Linked DNA regions of Schizosaccharomyces pombe. The protein of the gene in region 1 purifies or fractionates together with the protein of each later gene. This does not show direct contact. Each region holds a gene or a part of one and is shown in the gene's direction. Other genes may lie near its edges. The genes, in order: rvb2 and tel2.

Region 1 (4,447 bases):
TTGGCGTTGTTCAGATTTTTTGCTTCACCAGAATATTTTGTTTCCCCCTTCAACTCTAGTACAAAATGGTATTGTTACTTATTCAACAGTCCTTAAACAGGATGAACTGCTTATAACCTTTCCAGGCACACATCATAGTGCATTTTGTCTAGGAGACGCTGTTTTACGACGTTTTGTCTTTCGTTCACCAAGATCTGCTTCCAACTATGAATTTTCTAATTTACGAAGACTTATGGTTTCAGAATCCCTTTATTCCTCTAAATCTTTATGGCCACATTCGCATAAGCCTCAACGTGCTTGTTCTCAAAAGTTCCTGGATGAGTTTTACTTGCATGATTTACCCGAATCCAACATCCATGATAGTGGTAACTTTCATCCGATTCATTCAAGTGTTGATAATAATTCATTTTCTCAACGAGATTTTGACTCACCTAACTCTATTAATCCTCCATCTCCTTTAATGTCTAATCATGAGAGTGCATCTACTGAACACTTTAATTCTACTACAACTACCGAAAAGGAATTATCTTCCCTTCACGTGGGTGAAGAGCGCAAAAACCGATCGCTTCCTTTGTCACTGATTTGGAATTCTAAGGCACGTGAAGAGTATATAAAAAAACAGAAAGAAGAAAACGGTGATAACATAGAGTTTTCTCATTTTGATCCTTTATATACTCGTCCATCATCACATCCTTTGCATCCGCCTCCTATTTTAGGGCTTCCTGTTCCTGCACAGTTCGCTCGTGGAGAATTGTTTTTGGGGAGGATTCTCGAAGACAGGGTTAGTGAGCATATGTTGCTCCTCGAATGTGAAAAATCGGATGTAGTTGAGGTACCATATGAATGTATATTAACATCTTCTTCTGCTGCTGGTCGGCGGGAGAGTTCATATTATAATCCAGCCCTTAAAGCTCCTAATATCGTTTATGATGACGGTGTTCCTATTAACTGGAATGAATATTCAGAATTACCTTCACTTGATCGCTTCGTTTTACCCAAGTTGTTACCAGGAAAACCCATAGAATTCACTCCACCAATTTCAGTTGAACCAACCTCGATAAAGACTATTGCTGCTGAAGAATCTTCTGAACCGACTTCATCTGTTGACGTGGCACCAACTCCGGTAGAAGACGTCAACGTGAATTTAGAGTCGATCAGCAATACTAACGAATCTGTTGTTGACTTATCTGATCCTCTTGTAAGTAAAAATGGATTTGAAGATGTTGAACGGAGCTCGGTAGCAGATTTGGAAGAAGACGTTCTTGAAACTCGCTCCAGCATTTTTGAGACTTCTGACATTGACGATCGTTTAACAGTGATTGATCGTTCACAATCAGTTGTGCCTTCAGAATCTGAATTTTCTATTGCTGGCGCAAACCTTACTCGTCGAAACGCAGTGGATTTCTCAGTTTCACTAGATACGTATGAGCTTTATGTGAGTGATGAAGTCGAAAATGTCGATGATTTTTCTCTCTTTCCTTCCTTAGAATAAGGATATAAGAATTTGCATGTAAATGCATTTTTGCTGCATTATTGTATTTATGATTTAGTCGTTCGTTTTAAAAGTTTTTTGAATAATATTAAAAATTTACAATGTTTCAATCATATCGGTGACTAAATTAATTTTCAGCTTCGACATTGATTAGTGTAGCCATTAACCATGATAAAATACGCGCTACCTTTTTTAGTAACGCAGAATACTTGTATGACAAATGTGATTGTTTTTTGTAAAGAAGTTATTAAAGATACATTTAAGAACCAGTTTTAGTCAAAAATATTAATTATTTATCCTCAGTTTCTTACATAAGGAAAGTTAGCGATGGTTCATATGCTCTCAACCGCAACGCAAGGTAATGATTGCTATGTGAGAATGACTGTGCAGTCTTGAATAAAAAACCAAACACAACATAATCATGTCGATTTCGGTGACTTCTCATAATGATGTCTCCAAATTAGAAAGAAGTATGTTTTTAAAATAGAAATAGACCTCTAGCATATTTTGAAATTGGGGGGACTCAAATGCTTTAAAATTGAGTGAGTTAACTAATCTTTACTGTTTTTAGTCGGAGCACACTCCCATATTAAGGGAATAGGTCTCAATGATAATTTAGAGCCGAAGGAGTCAAGCCAAGGAATGGTAGGGCAAGTCAAGGCTCGCAGGGCTGCCGGTGTAATTCTCAAAATGATACAAGAAGGCAGGATAGCTGGAAGAGCCATATTGATGGCTGGACCCCCTTCAACTGGTAAAACTGCTATTGCAATGGGAATGGCTCAATCTTTAGGTAGTGACACACCATTTGTAACACTTTCTGCAAGTGAAGTGTACTCTTTGGAAATGTCGAAAACAGAAGCCCTGTTGCAAGCCTTGCGAAAAAGCATAGGTGTCCGTATTAAGGAGGAGACAGAAATTATTGAAGGAGAGGTTGTGGAAGTTCAAATTGATCGGTCTATTACTGGCGGTAATAAGCAAGGCAAGCTTACAATTCGCAGTACCGACATGGAAACGGTTTATGATTTAGGAACAAAGATGATTGATTCCCTCACAAAAGAAAAGGTTTTAGCTGGTGATGTTATTAGTATTGATAAGTCAGTGGGAAGAGTTACTAAGCTCGGTCGTTCATTCTCGAGGGCAAGGGATTATGATGCTATGGGAGCTGACACTCGGTTTGTTCAATGTCCTCAAGGAGAAATTCAAAAACGAAAGGAGGTAGTCCATACCGTCTCCTTACATGACATTGATGTTATTAATTCACGTACACAAGGATTCTTAGCTTTGTTCTCAGGTGATACTGGTGAGATTAAACCAGAAGTACGTGAACAAATTAACACCAAAGTTAGTGAGTGGAGAGAAGAAGGAAAAGCCGAAATAGTCCCTGGTGTACTTTTCGTTGATGAAGTTCATATGCTAGATATTGAGTGCTTTTCTTTTTTCAATCGCGCATTGGAAGATGACCTAGCTCCTATCGTTATTATGGCTTCTAATCGAGGAATTACTCGTATTCGAGGTACAAATTATCGTTCCCCTCATGGCATTCCAGTTGATTTGTTAGATCGTATGCTGATTATTTCTACATTGCCCTATTCCCATGAAGAGGTAAAAGAAATCTTGAAGATTCGCTGTCAAGAAGAAGATGTTGATATGGAGCCTTCAGCTTTAGATTACCTTTCCACTATTGGTCAGGAGACTAGTCTTCGCTACGCATTACTTCTTATATCTTCATCTAATCAGGTTGCTTTGAAGCGCAAAAGTGCTACGATTGAGGAGTCCGATATCCGACGTGTTTACGAATTATTTTTGGATCAAAAAAGAAGTGTTGAATATTTAGAGGAATACGGAAAGAATTACATAACCGAAAATGAGTGGTCGGCTTCAGGTGCACAAGATAATGCAGTTGCAATGCAGGAAGATTAAAAGCACTAAAGACGAATATTTTGTTATAGTTAAGAATATGAAAGTATTAAATAGCAAGTCTTTATAAAGGTTGCAAGACAAGTTTAATTTAGACTTATTTATCGAATTATAGTTTTCCGTTAATTCAAAGGTACAAGCTATAAGTTCTGTTATATAATGAAATAAAATAGTTTATTATCCACTTTGACTATTTCTTTAAAGAAACTACATCGCAAAAGCAGATATTGTTAGGATACATCCATTCATCCATATTTGCTAATTGTATAAATGCTGCATGCTTGGCATCCGTAAAATAACCTTCATTACTCCAAGCCTGTATTTGGCTTGCGGTATAAGGGCCGTACGTCTTATCGTCAAATTCCCACTTAAAGTTGTACTGTGAAGAATTTGAGTCGTCGTAACTAACAGGAGAAGACCATGAATTTGACGTGAGTTTTTGATAAATTCTTTGAAGAGATTCTCTAGTTTCCGAGTATATATCTTCCTTTCCAATTTTATCCTCTAGAAAAGTTAGACCAGCAGTTATAAGTTCTATTAATTTTTTCCGAAAAGCGTCAGCACTTTTCCTTTCAGGAGAAATGCCCTCTGCGGTATTATTTTTCTTTTTCTTATACGATTTTTTGTTACCACTTTGTCTCTGCAAAAATTCTAAAATACTTTCATCTCTCTCCATTCTTGCGATAAAAAACGATAACGCTTCAGGAACCGTGGAAAAAGGCAGTTTACTAAATTCTTCCAATTCTTGATTCCTTCTTCTGTTTTCCATTTCCTTACGCTTCTGCTCCGCTTCTCTGGCTGCTGCAATGCTTTTTTTATTAGAAACACTGCCATTGAGCCATGCATCATACTGAGACTCTGGGTCATAATTTTTTCGTATGAAATTACCATTTTCGTCAAAATCACCCTCCTCCATATCTTCTTTTAAGTTAAAGGACATTCGTTTTGGGCTTGAGGGAACTGATATCTCACTGCCTTCTTCATCCGCGTCGAGGTCGTTAGCCTGATTTGTATCTTCTTGGCCTTCTATATCTTCAT
Region 2 (5,495 bases), on another chromosome or scaffold:
ATTTTACTAGAAGTATTTCCGGTTGAAACGGCATTTGTAGTAGAAGATTCGACGGGAACATGAAACACCTTTAATAAGTTTTCACAGGCAAGAATCTCTTCCGTAAAGGCAGGAATACTAGCCTCTTCTAACTTGCGTTGAGCAGCAATTCTTCTCTTCTCCTTCTCACGATTTTCACGCTCAAGACGAAACTGTTCTTGTCTTTTGGCACGTTGTTCACGTTCATAAGTACGGAATGCGCGCAATTGGGTATCGTACTCACGTTGTAAAGCTCTTCGTTGATTATATAGATCATCGAGTGCAGTCTTCTCATCATCTCTTTCTGCTATGAGCTTACGCTGATCTTTATAGTAACCGTCTTGTTGCTTACGAACCTCATCAAGCTCAGAACGGATTTCTACGAACTTGTCACTCAACTTCTTTGATTCTGAATCATTAAGTTGATCACGAAGCTCGTTAAGTTCATTTCTAATCGTATCAATACTAGTTTGAAGAGCGTTCAACTCAACGAAGCTCTTTCTAGTACGATTGCACTGAGAAATTTCACGCAGGTATTTCTTCTCATCAACAATCTTTAAAGTTCCTGAGTCAACGGCGGCTTGAAGTTGTTTAACATGTTTATCAAGCTCCACTTCTGACTTGAAAGGAACAGTTTTTTTCATGGCAGTCAACTCCTTAACCTAAAAGTATGTCAGTAAACATTTTGTTTCTTTACCAAGCTCATAAAGTTTTCCAACACAAAACTTTAGTGCTTACATATATTAATGCAAAACATACCTTCTTTTTCAAAAGTTCATCTTGAGCCTTGACTTTGTTGATGAGAGTTTGCTTAGAAGAACGGATAGCTGCTTGAGCATTGCGAATATTGTCTAATTCAGCGCGAAGTTCTGCATTCTTCTCCTGCAATGAACCACCACCGCGAATGGCACCAAGCTTCTCCTTATGCTCATTCTAGTTGATTAGTTAAGATGCGAAAACTATATAAGAAACAAGTGATTTTTTGAAGCTTTCATAGTTATGAAAAAAAAAAAAAGCTTAGCCTTCAATATTCAAGAATTTAAAACTACTTACGAAACGCTTTTTCGCCTCGTTGATCTTAGCATCAAGCTCCTCCAAAGCCTCCTTGTGAAGAGCTTCATTAGGACGAACGGGTTTATGAGATGACATTTTTATTAAGGATTTTGTTGTTGGTGGTGGATAGTGGTGTGTGTTGAGTTGTCGTTTAACGAGTATATAACAAGGCAGATAAACTCCGTTTGTTTTGCTTCCCTAGAGTTTTCGTTCGCAGTGCTGTGAAGGAGACTACCTGTTTCTGAAATTTTTATAAATAGCTTTTTGTTGACGGTTATTCAGACATCGTGTGAAGAGCAGTCTAAGGAAAAGATTACGATAATACATGTTATGATATTTTTTTTTTATTTATTTAAATAAACTGGTAGTTTTTTGCACTCGTCCACGTATTATGTTTAATATTTCAATTTAAAAATCCTGAATTGTAAATTTAGTGACCTTTATTTGCAATGTGTTGACTTGAACGAAACAAGAAAAATTAATGCATTTTTTCTCACGGATTAGCTTACCGATTAGCGGAGCATTAACATTTAATTTGGGAGGTACACAAAAACAGTTTTAAACTAAAAGTTACTTGCTTTTTAAAAGCAAATAGAAATATTGCAACTAGTCTTATAAAGCAACAGGATACTTCACTTATAGAAAGCGAATTTGAAAGCATAACTATCCATTCTTTTGTTACAACTATTGCATATAAGCACAAAATGTCTTTAAGTTAAATTATACATAATATCCTTTTTCTGTCACGTAAATTGTAAGTTCCTATTCAATTTCAGGCTGTGAAAAGTCCGTGAAAATAATACATCGAAGAGCTTTACAGGTTTCACAGAATATCCCGATGCTACCCATGTAATTGTTGCATACACCATTCTCAGGAAGTTTAAGAGCACAATTTAAAAAACTATATGAATTGAGTTCAAATTACCTTTATAGAATGAAAAACAATTAATAGAATTTAAAGTAATTTACATGGACAACAAATTAAAAATAACTATATACTTTGTAAAGAGTTTTGGTGTTGTTTTAGCCAAGCAGCCTATAATCCTGCATATTGCTGATTGCTGACCGGTGAATTAATCCACCGAAGGTTACTGTCTTCTCAACACCCCAAAATAATTCGGTTATTTTTCAACTCCAAGGATATGAAATCCTTTGCTAGCGAACTATCCAAACCTATTCAAAAGCCGCGTTTAAAAGAAATCCTTAAAGAACTGCAGCATATAGGTGTTCCTTCTCCTTGCAATCTAAGATTATATCATGAGTTAATTAGTGTGATAGTGCCCACATTCTGGAATGGGAAAATTAATTCAGAAATAGATTTTCTCCTTGCAAAATGTTTTTCTACTCTTTTGGGCTTAAAACTGCTATGTGTTCGACTAGATAATTTTGTTCAAGAGGCTAATTTGCAAAACATTCATCTTGTTACAGTTTATCTTGAGCTACTGGAAAAAGCATTTGAATGTATAGACCTTGACGATAACTGTAAATTGATATGGGAATCTACTGTATTATCTGATCATCAAAAGCAATCTTTGTGGACTGAATTTATTTTTTTCTTGGGAAACTTTAAAATTACTAATTCAATGTCTGCTGCAATGCTTACCTTCAAGGTTTACGATGATTCAAAACGTTTGAAGGCTTCATCAATGGCCGACTACATTGGCGTTTTATCTTCAAAATTGGCTTGCATTATATCTAAACCTGCTGTTAAAACCCCAGAAATATATTCAAAGCTATTCCATTATTTATTACACTCATCCAATTTAAAGGCATTCATTAACCCATTGATTCCATTAACACAAAAATTTTGTGTTCAGCTACAAAAATTATTTGCAGATTTGACGGTCTCTGATCAAATGTTGTTTCTCAATCAACTTCTTCTTGAACATAATACCAAATATCCCACCAATTTTTCATATTCCACCGCAAGAGATGATCGTATAACAGGTTCATTGGCTACATTATTAAGGCTGAACTTTTCATCCACTCACTTCCTTCGATTAATTGAATTTTATTGGGGCGTCCCTACAAATTTAATAATTAAAAGGGTAGAAGTAGTTTGTTCGAGTATATCTTATAAGGAATCTGATAAAAAGGAGCTAGAAAAAACAGTGGACTCTCTGTTTAATATATGGTCAAATGCGCAATTTTTGAGGAGCTATACGCTGCTAGCTCAAGAGAGCTTAACAATATATTTATTACTATTTATTCCGAAACTTGAAGCAAAATATTTGAATAATCTTTCCAAATCCCTAATGTTCTCCAATGCAATATCTTGCCGTTTAGATAGTCTAGATGATGATATTCGAATGCATGGAATGATAATGGCCGAAGTAATCTCTACATATTCGGGTGTCAGCTTAAGTAACCCGTTAGCCTTTGACGTTCCAATAATGAAGACTACGAAAGCAAAAGTTCTCAAATCGTTGAGCTCACTCAAGGATGAATTTTTGCCTATTGAAATTTTGAATGACGAAAGTGTTATCGCAGAGACTTCGATAGAAAAGGAAGAGACGAATGTAACTCACTTGGAGAAGCCAGTGATTTCTAAAAACGATGACTTAATAAGGGGAGATGACTTGGAGCCTTACGATTTTCCTGATATTGACAGTGAGGACACGGACGACGATCCAACTGTCTCTAGATCCAAGACGCATTCTCCTGTGTACGTACAAGATTTGTGCAAAATGTTAAAAGACACAGAAAGTTTTGAGAAACAACGTGTTGCACTGGAAAACGCTTCTAAGTTAATAAAACGAAAGTCTGCTTTTGGAACCGAATTACGAGATCATGCAGATGAATTGTTACAAACGTTAATTTCCTTACAAAATCGATTTGACTTAATGAACTTTGATGAAATGCAAATGACTGCTATAGTGGAACTTCTGTTAACCTGTTTAGATATATGTGGTCCTGTTATTTGTACAAATTTATTTGTTAGTGACTATTCAATGCGCCAAAAAATACTTATCTTATCTTGTATTTCTTTAGCTGCTAGCAAATTCAACGATGATGATAATGAACGTCTTTTTCCCAGCCAGTTACTTCCAGGAAATTTACACGATCAGTTTTATTCACCCACTATTGAAAAGATTAGTGATGAATTAGAAAGGAAATTAGTTTTTCCGGTAATGAGTGAATGCAAGGATTATGCGGAGGGACCGAAATTCTTACAGACACGGTATATTTCAAAGCAGTCGGAAATCGAGTCGAAAAAGCCACTCCCAAAGGCCAATCGATTATCGCTTAAGGTAGATAAATCATTGTTCCTGCTCCTCACCAGTGGTTATATGCTGGCATCTAGGAAAACGGCTTTTATTGAGCCTTTGTTTTTAGTCTACTATCTTAAGACATTGGGTATTCTCTTTTTTGAAACTTTTACCTCAAAGATAGAAGGGGCAAACAGAATGCTCCGGGAATATGTTGACGTTTTAAATGAGGTCTGCCGACTTCGATCAGACACTCCAGAAGTTAATGAAGGGCTTTTGTTTAGTTTTTTGGCTATCTTAGAAATATCTTCTGGGCGTACTTTAGCTAATGAGTTTGGGAAGCATTTGCTCTTCTTTGAGGCGTATACTAAGTTTCTTTTTGAAAGCCCTGATCAAGGTGAGAAAGTTAAGTCACTCTCAGCAGCTGTTTTAATTCTATTTGAAAATAAACTTTCAGAATTCAGAACGCTCGCATTGGAAAAATTACTGGATGACTCAGCTCCTTTGGTTCCAGAGCGATTTGGATTAGCCGGACTTTAATAGTTCTTTATGGTCATGATTTAAAAGAAAAAAAATATTATTTATGAGGTTGAAATTTTGACAGAAACTCATTAATGCATTTTAATTAAATAATATGATTTTGTAATAATAATGAATGTCTTTAGGCCAATTACAATTATTGAATTAAGTCCTTCCACAAACTTGATTTTATGGAGGATTTATTTAATTTGTTTGAAGAATACGTTTTAATCTCGCTATACTTGTTCTGTAGTTCTTGCAAAAAAACTTGGTGCGATTTGTAGGGTATATCTCCATCCGATATTTTTGAGGAATGACAGTTCAACATCGATATACTCTTATCAAATAAACCAAGTAATAAACTTATGTCAAGAGTATCGTAAAAATTTTTAGCGGTTTGTTTAAAAAGGGCGATATTAAATTCATGATTGACACTCTGTATTTTAGAGATAGTGTCCCAACAAGGAGGTATAAACATAGTTTCTGATTGAATTGTTTGAGCATGAAAATCTCGAGGTTTAAACTTTTGAAACATAAAATTATACTTCATTAAAACGTTGAGATTATTCCAGCTTGTTGGGTCCGCTGAGATAGAAACAATTGAGGACGTTGGTACGGATAAAAGTGTCGTTCGCAAAAACTGTAAAATAAATTCCTGTGAATTATCGACTGAGGTATGCAAGCCTAAAGCATGCT

What was found.
Region 2: the proteins of rvb2 (region 1) and tel2 purify together in Schizosaccharomyces pombe (affinity purification with western blotting; 2 studies listed by BioGRID, with this or other methods). This does not show direct contact.

Annotation. Positions count from the first base shown.
Region 1 is NC_003423.3:1,522,094-1,526,540, forward strand, and holds rvb2 (chaperone, AAA family ATPase Rvb2), read left to right. Parts: upstream 1-1,898; 5' UTR 1,899-1,913; coding exon 1,914-1,962; intron 1,963-2,063; coding exon 2,064-3,412; 3' UTR 3,413-3,599; downstream 3,600-4,447. Other genes in the region: Lid2 complex histone demethylase H3-K36 subunit Jmj3, read left to right, coding at 1-1,492; U5 snRNP complex subunit LIN1, read right to left, coding at 3,600-4,447. UniProt on the Schizosaccharomyces pombe protein: DNA helicase which participates in several chromatin remodeling complexes, including the SWR1 and the INO80 complexes.
Region 2 is NC_003424.3:4,732,649-4,738,143, forward strand, and holds tel2 (TTT co-chaperone complex LRR repeat subunit Tel2), read left to right. Parts: upstream 1-2,172; 5' UTR 2,173-2,213; coding exon 2,214-4,820; 3' UTR 4,821-4,950; downstream 4,951-5,495. Other genes in the region: SPOM_SPAC458.02C (mRNP complex protein), read right to left, coding at 1-680, 778-951, 1,072-1,167; dli1 (meiotic dynein intermediate light chain Dli1/Dil1), read right to left, coding at 4,957-5,495. UniProt on the Schizosaccharomyces pombe protein: Component of the TORC1 and TORC2 complexes required for the regulation of the cellular respons to changes in available nutrients. Required for normal entry into S phase. Regulates activation of the DNA replication checkpoint.